5 linked regions of the Nothobranchius furzeri genome follow. The protein of the gene in region 1 purifies or fractionates together with the protein of each later gene. This does not show direct contact. Links are inferred from orthologs where the notes say so. Each region holds a gene or a part of one and is shown in the gene's direction. Other genes may lie near its edges. The genes, in order: exoc6b, exoc1, exoc8, exoc3 and exoc7.

Region 1 (4,007 bases):
AATAGACCCAAAATAATCGTTTTAACATTAGCTGAAGTTAGCTGTCAAAAAAATCGTCTATCCTCGGCTGAAATTAAACAGTTGTTGGTTAAAAAAATCCTGATTCTGAACAAATCAAAAGATTAGGGGGAGAATACCAAAATACCAGTTTATGAGTTTATACACTCTTGATTGTAAATAAAGAAGAAGAAGAAGAAGAAGAAGAAGAAAATATTTCAATAGCGCCTCTCAAGGTAAAAATCACGAGGCGCTTCACAAAAACAAAAAATGTAAAAATATAAAAAAGAATTTAGAAAGTTGTTAAAATATATTTAAATGAACAAAAAATAGACAATTGTGATAAAAAATGTTAAGAAAGAGAGAGAGTGAATAGGAAAGAGGGAAATCAGTGGATCCTGAGGAAGGTAGAATAGGTGGGGAGAGCAGAATAAAGAGAGAGAAGGTCAGCCTGAACAAGTGAGTCTTCAGCTGCTTTTTAAAGGAGTCCACTGATCTCAGGCTCAGGGGGAGAGAGGTCCAGAGTCTGGGGGCCACAGCAGCAGATGATCTGTCACCTTTGGTCTTTAGCCTGGTGCTGCACAGCCAGTAGGCTTTGATCACTGGACCTCAGGGACCTGCTGGGGGTGTAGGGACTAAGAAGTTCACCAATGGAAGATGGTGCTTGTCCGTGTAAGGCCAGAACCAGGATCTTGAAATGAACCCTGAAGTTGACTGCCAGCCAGTGAAGCTGGAGGAGAAGCGGGATGATGTGGGTGTGTTTGGAGGACTTGGTCAGAAGCCGAGCACAGGCATTCTGAACCACGGTTCAGGGAGGTTCTGCTCAGACACGTGAAAAGAGAGTTACAGTAGTCTAAGCGTGAGGAGATGAAGGTGTGGAGAACTGTCTCAAGTTCAGAGCGGGACAGAATGGGACTCAGCCTAGCAATGTTCCTGAGATGGAAGAAGGAAGAGCAGAACAAGAGAACTGACATGAGAATCCAGGGTGAGAGCTGGGTCAAAGAAGACAAAAAGTGTCCACTTAACCCATGAAATATTGAGCCAAATATTATAGATATGGTCCAAAACTAGTCAACTGTTTATTTCTAGTTATATTAATTATAACAAATACAGTATTCTCATTATTAGGATCTGTGGCGCATGTTAATGAGTTAGTTGGGTTTAAAACCAGAAAACCGCTCGGGATAATCTACTCATCAGTAACTAGTTAATCTTAAGTAATTTATTTTTATTTGCAATGTTTGTAGATTTTAAAGTCCCTTACTATTCAGAAGATTAACACTGAACTGATTATTCATAATATTTTAATTTGACATAAACTCCGCTCCTTCGGGCTGCTCAGTGAAAATATCGAACCAACCCTGCCCTTCCTCCTCCCCGTCGCTCTGCTCGTCGCTGCTCGGAACCGTTCTGAGCAACATGCAGGATGGCGATTGTAGAGACAGCCGCCGAACACGAACGCATACTGCGGGAAATCGAGAGCACCGAGACCAACTGTATCGGACCGACCCTCCGGTAAGTAACACCCCGGAGGATGTCCCCTTCCAGCAGCGGGGAGACAGTCTAGCCGTTGGCGTCACTCCTCTTCCAGAGCTCTCTCAAAACTTTAACATAGATGCGTCCATTATCGGACAGCTAGCCGGCTAACTTTAGCAAACATCAAAGCTGGGTGGAACACATCTCAGAACCTGGTGTTAAAAACCTTAAACAGAAGCTACTGACCGACTGGACTGACTTAATGTCTTTAATTCACCACTGTCCTACAGGCTTTGTCACTAAACTTTAGTAACACATCCACAGGTATTTTAATCGCTTTGGCTAGCATTAGCTTCCTTTGCTAACCAATTGTCATTCTGCTCCTGTTGGGGAACGAGGCTGTTAAAATTAGCTCAGTGCTTTTTCACTCATATGTCTCCCGGGTTTATGACTCGGGTCAGCATTTTGAAGCGGATTTCAACACAATTTAGTATTTCTCGTTATGTTAGTAACGACAAATCTATACGCTAAATCAGGGAGCCTCAAATGCAGCTGCCTTTACAATCCCTGCTTGTTTAGACTCAGAGAGTTCTCTTTGTGAACGAGAGGGTTTCCTTCTGTCTCTTTTTCAAACCGAAGACGTGACATTAGCTGCTGGTTGTAACTGGTGGCTTTTAGCAGAAGCCTGTAATTGATGCAGCGTTATTTCTTCTGCATTTGGTCGCAGCCCTGTTTCTGCTCAGCCCTTCATGGTAAGGCTTGGCACACGAACACTTTACACCACAGCAGCGTGCCATTTTTAAAATTAGATACGTGTGAGTCGGCTTTATTTAGAAATCCATCTCAGAAATGGAAATTTACCGAGAGACTGCTCTTGGTCTTTGCTATTGTCTCTAAGAGGAAACGGGCCGTGGATGGAAAAGGAAATGCAGCGGAGGGACTGGGCTATTGAAGGCTAATCGAAGGTGTGTTTGTGTTTTTGCAGATGTTTGTTTCTCTCTTTAACCACCCCCATGTGGCGGCTATTTTCTGGTCATCCTAAGAAGTGACAGCACGTCTAATGGGGACCTTTTTTGACCTATAAACACTAAATGATGACATGCAGAGTCATGCCCTTCCTACTAAACATGGTTCACACACACACGCACGCACACACACACGGCGGGCCGTACATAAGTCAACACACAACATGTTGGGCAAGTTACTTCAAAACTTTAATGCATTATTTATTACTTGTCCTCATTTTAAAGTAATTCATTACATTACCATATTACTGATTTTAAAATGTAAGGCATTACACTACTTTTGCATTACTTTAAGTTACTTTCACCAAAACAACTTCCATATGAATCTGGTAATCTGCGCTCAGTGAGCTCATGACATATATGTGGAAAGTGATGTGGTGTCTGAGCTAGGATTGCTGTTAAAAACAGTCAGATATAATAACAGTGCTTTAAAATGATTGTTTATTAAATAAAAGCAACAACAATCTGTACTCTCAGCACGCTGCCATCTTAAATTAACTGAGCAGGGAGTGAGGTGGTGGGGGCTCCAAGTAGGGCTGCAACAACGAATCGATAAATTCGATGAAAATCGATTACTAAAAGCGTTGGCAACGAATTGCGTCATCGATTCGTTGTGTCGCACAACTCTTCCAAAAGCGTCCCCCCTTCCCGCCCGCCGTTGCGCGCAGACAGATCAGCGCGAGGGAGAGCCGGCAGGTGTTTGGAAGAGGAACATAGCAGAAGCAGCGAGAGTCAAAAAAGTAAAAGCTTTTTAAGTTTGGGAGCATTTTCAGTTAAATCAGGCGAAGACATTCGTTACCTGCAACGTTTAGGTCAGACTTGGCATGGCACGGGATGATGCAGCGTCTTAAACGCAAGCATGTCGGGATCATCAGCGAGGAAGGAGAGAACTCTGTGTCCGGGTAAATTAAAAACTTTTCAAAAGTGATTCATCCAAGTCCCGGATTATTACACAGGCTAGACATGCCCTAAGCTCCTAAAAAAAAGAGTCTAAAGTCGTGAGCGCGACGCTTATTAGATGAGCGGCGGGACTCGCGCTGCTGCGAACCGGTTCCGCCCAAGGCCGGATTAACTGGGCAATTGCCCAGGGCACGAGCAAAATACTGTATAATTTCCAGCTTTATGAGGACTATGGTGACCGTACGTTCCGTTTTCCCCGGACGTGTCCACTTTTCACTCTCTGTCCGGCGCGTCCGGACTGCGGGTTCTTGTATTGATGAAAATGTCCGGCTTTTCATCCAGGAGCAGGGATCGAATTATGGGGGAGCTGTATATCCTACACATCCAGGGGAACCGGAAAAAAGTTTTCTATATTATATCATTTTTGGACTCTTTTGAGCAGAGAGCGGCACAGCGCATTGTTGCGCAGCGATCCAGGCAGCTGCTTCCAGCGCACGGTCCATTCTCAAAGTGGCGCAACCAAAAAACCATAATTAGTACACGATCGTTCATGTCTGCACATGTTCTCTATTTTCTGTCTTATTTGTGCCTGCAGCGCTCTGCTACTGC
Region 2 (4,088 bases), on another chromosome or scaffold:
AGATTCTTATCTGGGGCCATGAGAATATCATTTGTAACTTTCACTAATACAGTTTCAGTGCTGTGATACTCTCTAAAACCAGACTGAAATTCCTCAAACAGAGCATTGGTGTTTAAATGCTCACATACTTGGATGGCCACTATTTTCTCCAGGACTTTGGATAAAAATGGAAGGTTAGATATTGGTCTATAATTCATTGGGTCATCTGGATCCAGAGAAGGCTTCTTAAGTGAAGGTTAGATTACAGCAACCTTAAAATCCTGTGGTACATACCCATTTACTAAGGATAGACTGATTATACCTAGAAAGGGGGCAGTAACCAAAGGAATTGCATTTTTAAATAATTTGGTTGGGATTGGATCTAAATTGCAAGTTGAAGTTAGATGAAGCTAATATTTTTGATAACTCTGAAAGCTCAACTGGATCAAAACGGTTCAAACACAGATGAGGTTCTACAGTTACCTCTGATGCTGCCTCACTTACTGAGGAAGAAGAAATCACATTAGGGAGGATGCTAAAGATTTTGTTTCTAATGGAATTAATTTTACTTGTGAAAAATTCCATAAAGTTGTTACTGCTGAGTGAATCGATGGTTCAGAGTTATGATTTTGTGTAAGTTTGGCAACTGTACTGAAAATAAATTTTGGATTATTCTTATTCTCCTCAATTAGCGCTGAAAAATAAGCAGTTCTAGCTTGTCGAAGCTTATTTTTATAAAGCACAAGACTATTTTTCCAGGATAAGTAGGACTCCTCCTGGTGTGTAGAGCACCGTGTTCTCTCCAATTTTCTAGAGTTTTGTTTTAAAGTTCGTAAATGAAAATCAAACCAGGGAGCCAACCGCCTATCCCTAATTACCTTCTTTTTTAAAGGGGCAACATCATCTAACACACGCACGCACGCACGTACGCACGCACACACACACACACACACACACACATACACGCATTCAGGCGCATAATGTGAAAGTATAAAAGTAAACATGGTAATAATATATCTAAAATATCAAGTAAATTATTGAGTCAAATTAATCTAAATGTAAACAGAGGCCCATGTTAAGGTGTCAGAAGTAACTTGTAACTGTAAAGGTGTAGTAGTGCACAGAAGCACTGACCTGGCTCCTAGCAGCAATAGATTCAGTTCAGGGTTGGCTCTTACACGTTGTTCAGTTACTGCTTTAAATAAGTTAAATTCGTTCCAAGAATTTCGCACATTACTGAAAATGACCAATAACTTTTAAAAAAAACTATCATTAAAATGGGTTTAGTATTTCCAGTGGGCGTGGCCTTTGGGTTGTCACATGACAGCTGTGGCCGAGAAGCAGGAAGTGAGAGGGCGGTGCTTTGAAGGGCTGCAGCGGATGAAAATAAGGTAAATGCTACGTAAAATCTATACTATTTTCAATATTTATAGAATATTTTGATTACGATATCTAAACACGCAATGTAGAGTCATTTGTGAATGTAGCTACAATGCACGTTGGGCAGTTTTTGCTGATCGTCGATAGCTTAGCAATGCTAGCCTAGGACTAATATCTAACCGGAGAGAGGACAACGTTTTTATAGGAACTAGTGCTGATTCTGTACCACATACACGACCTAAGTTGCTTCAGAACCCTTTAATTCGGGGTTTGGTAGCTTGTTATTGCTTAATAGAAACATTTACTACGATAGTCTCTCAGATTCAATCTCCGGCTTTATGTATACGTTAAACAGTAAACAGTGCAGTCTGCAAAAGCACCAGTCAGTAACCTTTTCCTGTGCTGCTAAAAACTGTCAAATTGGGTTAAATAAACGACTAAAGAATTTTTCGATAGCAAAGGAAAAAAATCAAGACTTGATATAACTTTTAGGGATTTTTTGCTGAATCTCTAAATGTTTTTCCGTGAAACGTCTGATATTTTTGAAGTTTGGTTCTTGTGTTCTCTGAAGGGCCTCGCTCTCTGTAATGTTGGTGGTGTTTGAATCACTCATCCGCCCCCCCCCCCCTCCCCACTTCATTCTGAGTTCCTACTCTGAATATGTGTTTTATTGTTAACTGGAAATCACGAACCGAACACTAGATACGTCTTGCGTTGATCAGATTCATGACTTGTTCTGTTCTGTATGACAGTACGATCCACCATGACAGCCATAAAGCACGCTCTCCAGAGGGACATCTTCACACCCAACGACGAGCGTCTTCTCGGCATAGTTAATGTCTGCAAGGCGGGAAAGAAAAAGAAAAACTGCTTCTTGTGTGCTACAGGTATGTGTGTGAAAGCTGCGGAAGCTCCTGTAAAGAACATTCATGATAAAAGGACTTTTTTTCCAGTTACCACAGAGAGGCCAGTCCAGGTTAAAGTGGTTAAGGTGAAGAAATCTGACAAGGGGGACTTTTATAAGAGACAGCAGACCTGGGAGCTCCGAGACCTGACAGTAGTAGATGCCAAAGATGCAAGCAAGGTTAGAGGTCACACGGTCTGTCATGGCGTCCCCTATTGGTTCAGCACTCTGCAGTTAGGACTGATGCATGCTCTGTTTACGTTGTAGGAAAACCCAGAGTTTGATCTTCATTTTGAGAAGGTTTACCGATGGTTGGCTAGCAGCACAGCTGAAAAAAACTCCTTCATTTCCTGTATCTGGAAGCTGAACCAGCGTTATCTAAGGAAGAAGTTGGAGTTTGTCAACGTCAACTCTCAGCTCCTTGAAGGTGGGTAAATGCTAAAACTTCAGCCAGCTCAGAGTCTGCATGCTCCTTACTATAACTTAATTGTAATTCTTTAAAGATGCATCTTTTCCCCTCAAGCTCTACAACTCTACAACCTTTTGCATGTGTAATGTGTATACCTCCATAATTTGGTAGATTTTATTTACAGGTAGCATGTTTTTAAAACTGAAAGCCTCTTCTTTGTATGTTGGTTTGTGTCAGTAGTTTTCTTTGTTAAGTTCTTTTTTTATTCTCACTCTTTTTCTCTTGATCTTTCTGTGGCCAGAGCTTCCTAAAGCTGAAGGTTGGTAGGAATAAACTTTCCGCTTGATCCCTCCTCCTACCTCTTCATTATACTGTTCATGACCCCAAGCCACCATTTTCATCAAAGATTCTAGTTTTCCTGCATTTCCTGTGATTTAAATCATGTAATTAAACATGGAGGACATAATAATACTAATGATAATTATAACATCAACTGTAACACAAACTTAGGTTGTTCAGCTATTCTATCTATTCCACATTAAGTCATGACTTAATTTTTTTGTGGCATTAGTGCACTGTACACATAGTTTATGCTCACCTCTTCTACATGTTATGTATTAAAATAGTCATAGTCTAATAATAAACACTAAATAAAATTTAGCTCATGTATGTGCTTTTTGACCTCATGCCACTGCCTGAGATTGGTTTTCATTTTGTGTTCATATCCCTGCTACATTATCATCAGATGTCGGTAATAAATGAGATTTTACGGCCTTTAGTAGCATTTCTTTAAACTCTAAATACCTTTGATTCTATTTATTTAAATCAAAGAAATAATAAAAAATAATCTGACAACAATGGCAGTGCTTCTGGTATTATCATCTGTATTCCTAATTTCACTTATTTTCATGGACTTAGAGTCGGTGCCGAGCGGTGAGAGCCAGAGTGTTGCCGGAGGCGACGAGGATGCCCTGGATGACTACCAAGAGCTCAGCACTCGTGAGGAGCAGGACATTGAGAGCATGATGGAGACGTGCGAGTACGCGATCTCTAACGCCGAAGCTTTTGCAGAGAAGCTCTTCAAGGAGCTGCAAGTTTTAGACGGGGTGAGCGAAGCAGTCACTGACGCTCTCTTTTTTTTTTTTTTTGCTAGTTTCTCAGAAAACCCAAATCATTAACGTATTAACTGCCAGCAGTTTCCGGATCAGAAAAGCCTCTCGCTGCCAGTGGTTTTGAGCGTTTTAACGGTTTTTTGAAGAGTCACAGAACGTTGTGCTCAATGATGAAATCAACTCCAAGATCACCAAAACAAAGGGTAGACTCACTTCCCACATCAGGACGGATCCGCGTGTTTCTAGAGTTATCTGTTCTTTCATAATCCGTCGTCATGGCAGATGCTTCTCCGGTTCCCACCTC
Region 3 (3,950 bases), about 74 Mb from region 1:
ATTTTTCTTCAATAATGATGTTTTTCCAAGCATCTCGCGCTTTGTGGCTACCATATTTGAATCCCAGTAAAGCCAACAGTGTTTATAAACATCCCTGCTGTAGGAAATCTGGTGAACAAACAAAACTTACAGTGTCATTCTGGGGCTCCACTTCACCTCGACTCCGCTCAGTTTCCCCCAGAAGAACAGGCTATTAAACTCCAGAAACATGGCCCTCACATCTGGGTTTGGGTCCAGCATCTCCCAGGACTCATCCACGATGCTCAGGGGTTTCTCAGGCTCGTGACCCGGCTTCCAGGAGGGGACAGCAGCGCTGCCACCTCCGGCTGCTTCCACTTTCCGTCTCTTACTGCTTTGTTCGAAGTAATTATCCTCGAATCTATTTGATGAGGTTAATGACGTCTCGTACTCATTATCGAACTGCTCCTGTAATTTAATGGCAAGCAGGAAATCCGCATCCATGACATCAGAAGGCAGCTGTGCTAGCTTGTTAGCTGACTTGCTAATGTAAATAGCACGAAGTTCTGGAACAAACGACGTCTGCAGCCTAATTATAAAATCAACCTTTCAGAGAAACATCGGTAAAAGGACTGAAGTCATGACTTTGAAAGATGAATCTCATCTTCTTGTCAGCCAAAGGTATCTGTAATAATAGTCGGTCTGTCCACAGCTCGCGCCAAACAGCAGGTTTGCTACATGTACTACATTACAACGAGTCTCTTTCCGTATGAACTTCTAAATAAAAAACTACTTCAAACTTAATTTCGTGTTTGATTTGGCTTTCCCCGCTTAGTTTTGTATCTTATTTTAATCAGCAGATGACTAAAATTAGCTTGTTTAAACGCTGTTGAAAATCTGTAATGTTTCTGCAGCTACCGTAAACTTCCGGTAGGTAAATAGTTGGACAACAAAACACCTATTCCGGGTGTTGTTCAATAGCCCAGTAATCAGTAACAACTGCAAAATAACAACACACAAAAAGCAAAATGAGTAAATAAATAAACAGAAGCTTTAAAATAAAAATAAAACATTGTTTGGTTTACCTGAAAGATCAATAACAATTTTGTTCTGAGTTTTTGTTGATCATCCTTTTTGTTCTCCCTTCTCGTGACGTTCATGTGACGTTGACAACCCGGGTGTTGGAGAAGCCAGATCCTTTTGGGGTGTTGACCTGTTTTCAGCTTCCTGTGTTTGTTGACGTGGATATGAAGGCGCTCGTTCTCTGTTTGCGTTTCTCGTCAGTTTGTTAACAGTTTTGCTTAATAAGGAAACACGCAGACAACCAAAGATGTCGGAAACCGGGAACCGACTTCGGAAGCTGCTGGAATCGCCCAACTTCGATCCACAGAACTACGTCAAGCAGCTGTCACAGCAGTCGGATGGCGACAGAGACCTTCAGGAGCATCGTCAGAAAATTCAAACTCTGGCTGATGAAACGGCCCAAAACCTCAAGAAGAACGTGTACAAGAACTACAGACAGTTCATCGAAACGGCCAAGGAGATCTCCTTCCTGGAGAGCGAGATGTACCAGCTGAGCCACATCCTCACCGAGCAGAAGAGCATCATGGAGAGCATCACTCAGGCCTTACTGTCCACAGACAAGGACGAGACCTCCAAAGAGATGCAGGCAGCGTTCCCCAAAGAGACAGAGGACCTGAAGCAGAGGACTCTCACCTCACTGCTGGAGAAGGTGGAAGGAGCTAAAAACATCATGGACACCCCAGGGAGACACCTGGTCTACAATGGAGACCTCGTGGAGTTTGATGTGGACAACATGTCCCCCATCCAGAAGGCTCATGCTTTCCTGATGAATGACTGCCTGTTGATTGCCACCTGGCTGCCTAACCGCAGAGGCACAGTGAAGTATAAATACAATGCCCTGTATGATCTGGAGAGCTTTGCTGTGGTCAACGTAAAGGACAACCCTCCCATGAAGGACATGTTCAAGATTCTCATGTTCCCAGACAGCCGCATCTTCCAGGTGGAAAACAGCAAAGTCAAGAAGGAGTGGCTGGAGATCCTGGATGAAACCAAGAAAAAGAAAGCCTCCCAGGACAAACACAAGAAAGAGGAGGAGGTCCCCACCTCTCCCGTGCGAGCCGAAGTGTCCAACAACCCTTTTGATGTGGATGACGACGAGCCGGCAGATGCCGAGGAGAGTGTGGACCTCAGTCTCGAGTGGATCCAGGAGCTGCCCGAGGACCTGGATGTGTGCATCGCTCAGAGAGACTTTGAGGGTGCAGTGGACCTGCTGGACAAGCTGAACGAGTATCTCAAAGACCAGCCTGCGACCCAGACGGTGAAAGAGCTGAAGGCGAAGGTGGATGAGCGTGTGCGGCAGCTGACTGAGGTCTTGGTGTTTGAGCTGTCTCCTGATCGGTCGCTTCGTGGTGGACCTAAAGCGACCCGGCGGGCCGTGTCCCAGCTCATCAGATTAGGTCTTTATTTGTATTAATAAGATCTCACAGACCATTAAAATGTTGATTTCCCAAAACCAGTAAACATTTCAACACAAAGCCAGAGTAGTCCTTGGAGAATCCATGCCTGTAACAATTTAAAGTTATATTTCCAACAGTTGATGATGTCATTTCTGTGTTTCAGGTCAGTCCACCAAGGCTTGCGAGCTGTTCCTGAAGAACCGCGCCGCGGCTGTCCAGACGGCCATCCGGCAGCTCCGCATCGAAGGAGCCACGCTGCTCTACATCCACAAACTCTGCAACATTTTCTTCACCAGCCTGCTGGAAACTGCCAAGGAGTTTGAGACGGACTTTGCGGGGAACACGGGCTGCTACTCTGCCTTTGTGGTCTGGTCCAGATCGGCCATGACGATGTTTGTGGACGCGTTTAGCAAACAGGTCAGCAGAGGCTCAGCGATGTCCCTAACATGAGTCAAGAAATATGTTTCGATCATTATTCTTGATAAAAAAAAAATCAAGATCAATTATTGTTCCAATTATTTCAGAAAATGATTCAAAACGGCCAATTTTCTGTTTTCCAGGTGTTTGACAGCAAGGAGAGCCTGTCGACAGCAGCAGAGTGCGTTAAAGTGGCCAAGGAGCACTGTCAGCAGCTGACGGAGATCGGCCTGGATCAGACGTTCACGCTGCAGTCGCTGCTGGTCAAAGACGTCAAGGCAGCCCTGCTGAGCTACAAGAACATCATCATTGAGGCCACAAAACACCGGAACTCTGAGGAGATGTGGAGGAGGATGAACTTGATGACCCCTGAGGCTTTAACTAAGCTCAAGGTCGAACAGCCTTCCTTAATTCCCAATTTTGTGTTTGTTTCTTTTGTTTGAAGAAGAAAACTAAAGAAAATGCGGGTGTTGAGCAGCATCTAAGGCTTTTCTCTTCGTCTTGCAGGATGAGATGCGTAGCTGTGGGATTAGTTTCCAGCAGTACACGGGCGATGACTGCTGGGTGAACTTGAGCTACACCATCGTGGCCTTCACCAAGCAGATGATGAGCTTCCTGGAAGAGGGTCTGAAGCTCTACTTCCCCGAGCTGCACATGGTGCTGCTGGAGAGCCTGAGGGAGATCATCCTGGTGGCCGTGCAGCACGTCGACTACAGCCTGCGCTGTGAGCAGGACCCCGAGAAGAAGGCTTTCGTCCTGCAGAACGCCACCTTCCTCCACGACACCGTGCTGCCAGTGGTGGAGCGGCGGTTTGAGGAGGGTGTGGGGAAACCGGCCAAACAGCTGCGGGACCTGAGGAAGAGCACGAGGCCGGTGCGGATCAACCCAGAGAGCACCACATCCTTAGTCTGAGGCCGACAGGAGCTTCGACGGCTCGTTTAACAAACCGCGTGAGACTGAAACGGCGGCCGGTGGCCACTCCCCCCTTCCCTCCCTGTCATTTCACCTCCCCCCTCAGACCCGATCCACAACACTAACTACTGGGTGTTTAGATGCTGCAGGAAGGAAATGATGGTAAAATGAAAGAGTCAGTGA
Region 4 (3,514 bases), on another chromosome or scaffold:
TTTTCACTCTACATTGTAAAGTATGAAAATAAAGTTTACACAACCATCTCATGGGCCGGATTTAACCCGCTTGCGGGCCAGATCCGGCCCGCGGGCCGCATGTTTGACACCCCTGACCTAGACTCTGATCCCAGCCAACAGACTGCTTGCAGCTGAAAGGAAGACTCGGTTCAAACCCAAACACATCTTTTAGTCACCTGCAGCTCATGTATTGCTCAGGTTAATGACTCTAAAATGACTGGCCTAAACCTCTTGGAGTGGGATAACAAGTAACCAGCATCTCACCTTTTTGGTTACACGACACCAACGGAGACCCCAGGCACCCAAAATCCTTTTAAGTTTCTTACAGTAAGAAACCAAGGTTTTTATTTAATAGGATGAAAAAAGATGAATCCAAACAGAATCACCCCAACGCAGCGGGTAAGAAAAAACACAGAGCTCCACCGAACTCGTACAGAACTCTCCCAGAACTCAGAACTCTCCTGGGCCCCCCTTTTTATTACTTTACTTCCCCCTCCTTCTTGTCTCCTCTTCGTCTCCATGACAACTCCCGCTTCAGGAAGCACTCTGCTCAGCCTTGTGACTCCTCCCAGCGTCTCTTGCTTGGTGTTCTTCAGGCTTGTGGTCATCAATCGACAGGGCGAGGCGAGCCTTCCTTGTCTTCTCCAGGGGTCTGCTTAAGCCAACCATAAGCATATCCCAGACGCAGCGTCTACCCTGAATCTTTATTGCATTCTGGACTAACCCCACAGAGGTCAGTAAAAGGCTAAAGCCACAACATATATTCACCAAAAACAGCAGAGTCGTGAAGCACATCCATTATTTACGACATTAGGAGATCAGGAGTCAAATCACACACACACATTCACCCACACACAGCCTTTCTTTGACCTCCCAGCCTGGTTTTATTAACACACAGATCGAGAGGTAATCCAGAACTGCTTTCTTTTAATACGCAGGTCTGGAATCAAAAATCTTTGTTCAACAGGTTCAAAGCGTTCCGATGATGGCAACTGGACTTCTTTGGTTTCTTGATGACGTTTTGCTTCTCATTTAAGGAGCTTTGTCAATTCTGACTGGAATATGGGAGGATTAGACTTATAAGCTGTAGCTGTAGCTGTCTGTTGTTGCTGGCGGGAAAAATGTTAGCTGACACACCTGGCGCTGCAGTCTGGCTCCAGCACGTTTCCTGCATGTTTTAGATCATGAAGACAACTGGTTTGTTTAATTTAGTGATGAATCACTTCTGTAGACACTAAGGGCCATTAGATACTTGCTGTTTGACAATGCAAACGTGTGTTTAAAATGGCTGCCACGTGTTACTCGCGTTGATTTAAAGCGTCATTTGTGTGTGTCCCCCCGAAATTAATACAACACGTCCGAACGCTGCAATATACGAGTAACCAGTAGGTAGGGATGTCCCGACACAACTTTTTCACTTCCGATACGATGCCGATATTGAAGCCTTCAGTTTCCTTTCTAGTTTCCTTTTCTGATGAATTTTGATAATGTTTCCAACAGCATCACCTGAGCGAACTGTTGACCAGGAAGTGGCTGACGGGTTCTCATGCAGTTGATACTATCTGCGTCACAGTGGAGGACTACTTCAATGACTTCAACAAAATTAAAAAACCGTTCAATCAGGTGAGACGAGACAGAATCACTATCTGCAAGAAACATTCAAAAGAGATTTTTCAACTGTTTTATGTGAAATGTTTATTCCCTCTGACATTTGACCAACCAAACCCATTTCTGTAGGTGTGACGGTGGTGCAGTGGATCAAAAAACTCAGTTTAGGTCACATCACGGTTTTCAGTCACGGATTGGATCAGTTTTCAGATCAGCAGAAAGAAAAAGAAAAGACAAATAGCTCGTCTCTCTTTATTTATTAGAACACTTGTGCAACATTTTTCTGCTCAATTTGCAACCTGCTATAAAAATAGGAATTACAGAGAGGTCAGATTGCTGATTAAATGTCAAAACAGCTTGCCATTTAAGACACGCCCATTCCCTGCGTTTCCTGCTTTCACTAATTCCCTCACCCTTTTGAAGCACTATTTGTATTCTTTCCTCGTCTTTTACAGATATTTATAGGTCCAACCTCGTTAATGTAATAATTGGCCCAGCATTTTGCATGCCCCCCCCCCCCCCCTTCTGTTTCACAGCAATTGGAGGTACGTCTGCGCTGCGCTGTCAGACTGGAGGCATGTGCGTGTGTGTTCGTTTATGCAGTTTGCATCATCATCGTTTTTTACAGGGAAACCAAAATGCTTTCATACATGAGACGATGCAGGTGGTTTTTCAAGCACCTCTTCTCCTCCGCCATGACCACCGCTGTGCTTTCTTGTTTGGATTGAACAGGTGGCTCCTCGGCCCTTCACGTGTCTCCTCGGACCATGTGCATGCCGAACCGTGGAGTGAGATTCGTGCGGATCAGGGATGATCCGTTGCACCCCTAGATAGAACTAACCTGCTGGACTGTGTTCTGTGTAGGAGATGACCAACGAGGCCCATCGTAGGGTGGTGGTAGAGTACATCAAAGCAGTCATGCAGAAGAGAATCACTTTTAAAAATGCCGATGAGAGGAAAGAAGGAGCCGAAAGGATGATCAAAGAAGCTGATCAGTTCAAATTCCTCTTCAAGAAACTGGCAGCGGTGAGTTTTTACCTGCTGCTGTTTGTTGTTCCATAGTACATGTGGCTGTGCGTGCCCTGTGGTTAAATCTGCTGCTATAGATGAGATTTGAATATATTAAATATGGGAGTAAGGTGGCTGGTGTGCTGTTGAAGAAGACATTCAGATCTAGAAAGTCTAGAAAAACCACCTCTAGGGAAAGGAAAACTGTGTTCATCAACCCTGAACCTGCAACTTTTGTTCATGCTTTTTGAGTTTAAGGACCAGACCTATTCTCTTGTGCTTCTAAGGTTTAGGGTAGGGTTAGATCATGTCCAGCTAAGGACTCAGAAAAAAAAACAACTTCAGAGATAGGAAAAGCTGTAGAAAAAAAACAATAAATGGTCAACATCAGATCAGTGACGCTGTAAGCTCAGGTTGTTGCATGTAGGCTATGCTCTAATTTTGTTTTGTGAAAAAATGTGATTGACAGATTTGAAATGAATGGCTGTGTAAAATAGAAATGAGCTCAATAGAGACCAGGATCCGATTGTGGGGAGCTACTCCAATAAAGATCATTAAAACAGAGCAGTAGTTATTCATTCATTCACAATAAAAAGTAAAAGGAGCCAGCTGAGCACCAAATACATCCAGCACTTCTGATTTTCTATTACATAGCAACTCTGGGTGTTGTAAATGGAGGTGAGATGAGGCAGAATGTTTGAATCATTTGGAATGCACCTATACATTTTTTAGAGTCAAATTTTGGCCCTTCTCTGACAGGACTAAAGTATCCTCTTCCTTCATGTTGTATTCGTCTACTAGAAACTTCAAAACTTAATAGAAACATGCAATGCACATGTTTGTTTATTTGTTTATTTATACATTTATATTTTGGGAT
Region 5 (3,514 bases), on another chromosome or scaffold:
ACCAGTTATGGAGAAAAAAAGAAAAAAGAAAAAAAAAACACCGAAAAAGAAGCACAACAGCATGACCAGCCACATTACCGTCCTGGGTTAACCCTGTTTTCTTCATTCTTATACTTATTTAAAATTAGGTTTTTATATTTTACTTTAAACTGGTTTGTTTTTACTTTCTTTTATCTCTTCTGTTGGACTGTTCCATAATTTAACTCCTGCAATTGCAATTGACCTAGTTTTTAAAGTTGTTCTAGCACTTTGTATTTTTAAATTCAATTTCCCTCTTAAGTTATACCCACCTTCTCTTTGTTTGAACAATAAACAGATTTCTTTTGGAAGCAATTTATTTCTTACTTTATTTACAATTTAACACCAGCAGTGACTTTCCACTCCCATTATTACCTGTTCAAGTGAAAACATCAATAAAACGACTGAACAAGAACATAGTGACAATATAAATAACAGTAACCATCTATCATTTTAGTCATTTGTAATAATTTACATGAAAACAACTATTAGTATTTAAATTATTTATTTATTTTACATTTAATTGGGTTTTTGGGGCCCATTTCAGGACCACAAACTTGGTGTTTCACGACCCACAGTAAGGTCGCGACCCCAACTTTGAGAACCACCGTTTTACTGTTTGCACAAATTGACTAGGGCAGGGTACAGAGGATGTAATGGTCAGAGCTAAGAGTCGAAGCAAAGCTTAATATTGACAGTAAATCACATAATGGTACCTTTAACTTGTTCATTACGAGATAACAGCTTGGATATTATTTCTGCAGAAAGCTCGTTTTGAGAAGGGTAAAGAGCTGCTGGAGGCCGAATTTCGGAGCCTTCTGAACCGCTACAGTAAACCCGTCCCCCCAATTCTCATCCTGGACGTTATCAGTGTTGATGAAGACATGGAGCTGCAGGAGGAGGTGTTGCTAGAGCACCTGCCTGAGGCTGTCCTCCAGGATATCATCTGCATCGCCAGCTGGCTGGTGGAATATGGACGCAACCAGGGTATGACTAGTTTTAGAGGTGTCTTACGTCTCACTATTTATGAATATTTGGTCCTAAAACTTTTTGGGTTAAACCTGTGGAGTCCTCATCATTGTTTTGGTTCCATAAGTCCAACAAATTGTCTTCAGTCTCTGGGCAGATTTTACACACCAGCTGTTCCTGAAGGTTGATTTTCTTTTATGGTTCATTAATCACAGCTTCCAGGGTAATCATCATGCAATAGGAGGTGGTTCAGGTTGTAGTCCATAACCACCGGTAGGTGTGGGCCATGTCGGGACCAGGAGGAGACCATGGTGGAATCATTATTAGCTGAAATAGTTAAAATACAGAAAATACTTTTCCCCTTATAGAAGCCCATTATCTCTGAGCTAAGTGTTGTCAGACTGTGAGGTATTTAGACACTTCTCTCCCGAACCATCTCTTCTTCTCCTGTCTTCAGATTTCATGAACGTCTACTACCAGATCAGGTCCAGTCAGCTGGATCGCTCCATCAAAGGCCTGAAGGACCACTTCCGTAAGAACAGTGCCTCCTCTGGGATCCTCTACTCTCCTGCTGTCCAAACCAAACGGAAGGACACGCCCACCAAAAAGATTCCAAAGAGACCAGGTCAGCAGCAGATTCCTCTGAGCTTTTGTCTTCATGACCTTTACGCCTTTAGCTGGACCCAGCAAACAAGTCCGAACCTGTTAGATGTCAGAATCTGATTTCCATCCAGCCACGGTCCTCTGAGGATTTGTCAGAGACTCCCTGAGCTTCAGAGATCCTGTCTCTGGTTTTAAATATCTTAGGTGTGTTCTTGCTGTGCGTTATTTCTAATTCCATGTTGTCGTTCTTTTTAAAACACAGAACCAGTTTAGTTTACCTGTTTTGTAGCTACGTTTCGCCGACGGCTGCCGGCTTCTTCAGGCTGACGCTGATGGTGGCGCGTCACTTCCTTCTCCGTTTATCTGCGGGCTGCGCTGGACCACGCACGGGACTGCATCGTCGGAGAGGGGAGAGCGGGCAGTAGAGGGCGACAACATCCTCTGCTGCCCGCAGATAAACGGAGAAGGAAGTGACGCGCCACCATCAGCGTCAGCCTGAAGAAGCCGGCAGCCGTCGGCGAAACGTAGCTACAAAACAGGTAAACAAAACTGGTTCTGTGTTTGAAAAAGAACGACAACATGGGACCTGGTTTTAAATGTTCTAACCATCCTTCATCCTTTCCTCTTCATAATCCCTGTGTTCCGATGACATCAGTCTACATCCCAGGTAAATGCAAAGCTTCAGTGTGAGCACTGTGCTTCCTGCTGTCCGCCTGACGCCACGCTTCGCCTCCATGTCAGTTCGGTTTTCGCTCAGCTGTGTCTGACAGGTCGTTTTCAGCGTGAAGGCCTTTAGCTTCATGGTGTGGAAAATGTCTCATACCGAAAAGGTGAAGCTGATTAAAAGTAATGAGGCTCGTTGCTGTTCCAGACAAACACCCTGGAGTTCCGGCTCACTTTACGGAGACGGGATCCCTAACCCCCAAATTCCACTACCTCCGCTCCGGTCCGTCCCCGCCTTCCGCAGCCGCTCGCTTCCGAACTCAATTTTTCTTGGTACCCGCTCTACAACGGCTCCGCTCCGGTGCGGAGACCTGAGGTGGGCAAACAAGCGTGCGCAGGATTTTCGAGATCTTGCGATACAGTCCGAGCAATAAACGCGGAAGTTTAGATCCAAACACCCGTTGTGTGGGAGAAGCATCGACAAGAACTGCTTAATCTGCCCATCATTTGTGTTGAGAGATCAGCAGTGTTTGGATCAACAAAGTGTGACTACTTTGACAGTAGAAACTGTATTTATGGCTTACTTTTGTGCATTTAAACTTCAGCTGCCATTGATAGTTGTTAAAAGTTGTTAAACCTGTGCATATGAAACAAAAAACGCCTTTTGTTTATCGATTTATTGTGAAAAACGGAAGTTGTGCTTGCTCCTTTTCCTGTTGGGCGGTTGTGATTTCTGTCCATTTAATGCGGAGGTGCTCCGGCGTCCGGCAAAAATAGGATCGATTCTATTTTTGCCGGACGCCGGAACAGAGGGCGGCGCACGGCGCCGCACTGCTGGAGCACGGCCGCAGTAGTGGAATTGCTCTGATTGACTACAACGGGACCGATTTTGCTCCGGCGTTCGTGTCGGAGCGGAGCGGAGGTAGTGGAATTTGGGGGTAAAGGTCTTCTGCTGTGGAGGGTTTCAGTTTGTCTAGATTGGTTGTTGTAGTTTAAATCAGGAACCAGTTCTTGACATGTACTGGTGAAGAGGTTTGTGTGTCAAGGCGGTTCAGAAGCGTTTCTAACTATTGTTTATTCCTAGTCAAGCTGTGATGAAGTCTTGATAAAAAGTACATTGCTTAAACGTAACAGAATGTCAGTTGTTTAGCAGCCTGTTGTTGAATTAACTCACATTTAATGCAAACGTCTCAAAAAACATTTGATTAGCAAAATCCTGAGTGAAAGGAGCAACTTTCCAGACTTACTTCCTGGTGAACCT

What was found.
Region 2: the proteins of exoc6b (region 1) and exoc1 purify together in Homo sapiens (affinity purification with mass spectrometry; 3 studies listed by BioGRID and IntAct, counting the BioPlex papers as one, with this or other methods). This does not show direct contact. The link is inferred for Nothobranchius furzeri from reciprocal best matches to the Homo sapiens genes EXOC6B and EXOC1.
Region 3: the proteins of exoc6b (region 1) and exoc8 purify together in Homo sapiens (affinity purification with mass spectrometry; 3 studies listed by BioGRID and IntAct, counting the BioPlex papers as one, with this or other methods). This does not show direct contact. The link is inferred for Nothobranchius furzeri from reciprocal best matches to the Homo sapiens genes EXOC6B and EXOC8.
Region 4: the proteins of exoc6b (region 1) and exoc3 purify together in Homo sapiens (affinity purification with mass spectrometry; 3 studies listed by BioGRID and IntAct, counting the BioPlex papers as one, with this or other methods). This does not show direct contact. The link is inferred for Nothobranchius furzeri from reciprocal best matches to the Homo sapiens genes EXOC6B and EXOC3.
Region 5: the proteins of exoc6b (region 1) and exoc7 purify together in Homo sapiens (affinity purification with mass spectrometry; 3 studies listed by BioGRID and IntAct, with this or other methods). This does not show direct contact. The link is inferred for Nothobranchius furzeri from reciprocal best matches to the Homo sapiens genes EXOC6B and EXOC7.

What each region holds. Positions count from the first base shown.
Region 1 is NC_091742.1:85,092,780-85,096,786, forward strand, and holds the start of exoc6b (exocyst complex component 6B), read left to right. Parts: upstream 1-1,200; 5' UTR 1,201-1,423; coding exon 1,424-1,512; intron 1,513-4,007. UniProt on the Homo sapiens protein: Component of the exocyst complex involved in the docking of exocytic vesicles with fusion sites on the plasma membrane.
Region 2 is NC_091748.1:40,500,146-40,504,233, forward strand, and holds the start of exoc1 (exocyst complex component 1), read left to right. Parts: upstream 1-1,277; 5' UTR 1,278-1,370; intron 1,371-2,111; 5' UTR 2,112-2,122; coding exon 2,123-2,246; intron 2,247-2,312; coding exon 2,313-2,443; intron 2,444-2,530; coding exon 2,531-2,690; intron 2,691-2,973; coding exon 2,974-2,991; intron 2,992-3,590; coding exon 3,591-3,778; intron 3,779-4,088.
Region 3 is NC_091742.1:10,762,570-10,766,519, forward strand, and holds the start of exoc8 (exocyst complex component 8), read left to right. Parts: upstream 1-1,139; 5' UTR 1,140-1,288; coding exon 1,289-2,438; intron 2,439-2,601; coding exon 2,602-2,855; intron 2,856-2,998; coding exon 2,999-3,247; intron 3,248-3,362; coding exon 3,363-3,767; 3' UTR 3,768-3,950. Other genes in the region: DNA-dependent metalloprotease SPRTN, read right to left, coding at 131-462. UniProt on the Homo sapiens protein: Component of the exocyst complex involved in the docking of exocytic vesicles with fusion sites on the plasma membrane.
Region 4 is NC_091751.1:65,605,354-65,608,867, reverse strand, and holds part of exoc3 (exocyst complex component 3), read left to right. Parts: intron 1-1,521; coding exon 1,522-1,644; intron 1,645-2,493; coding exon 2,494-2,655; intron 2,656-3,514. UniProt on the Homo sapiens protein: Component of the exocyst complex involved in the docking of exocytic vesicles with fusion sites on the plasma membrane.
Region 5 is NC_091756.1:53,828,727-53,832,240, reverse strand, and holds part of exoc7 (exocyst complex component 7), read left to right. Parts: intron 1-782; coding exon 783-1,005; intron 1,006-1,444; coding exon 1,445-1,612; intron 1,613-2,245; coding exon 2,246-2,257; intron 2,258-3,514. UniProt on the Homo sapiens protein: Component of the exocyst complex involved in the docking of exocytic vesicles with fusion sites on the plasma membrane.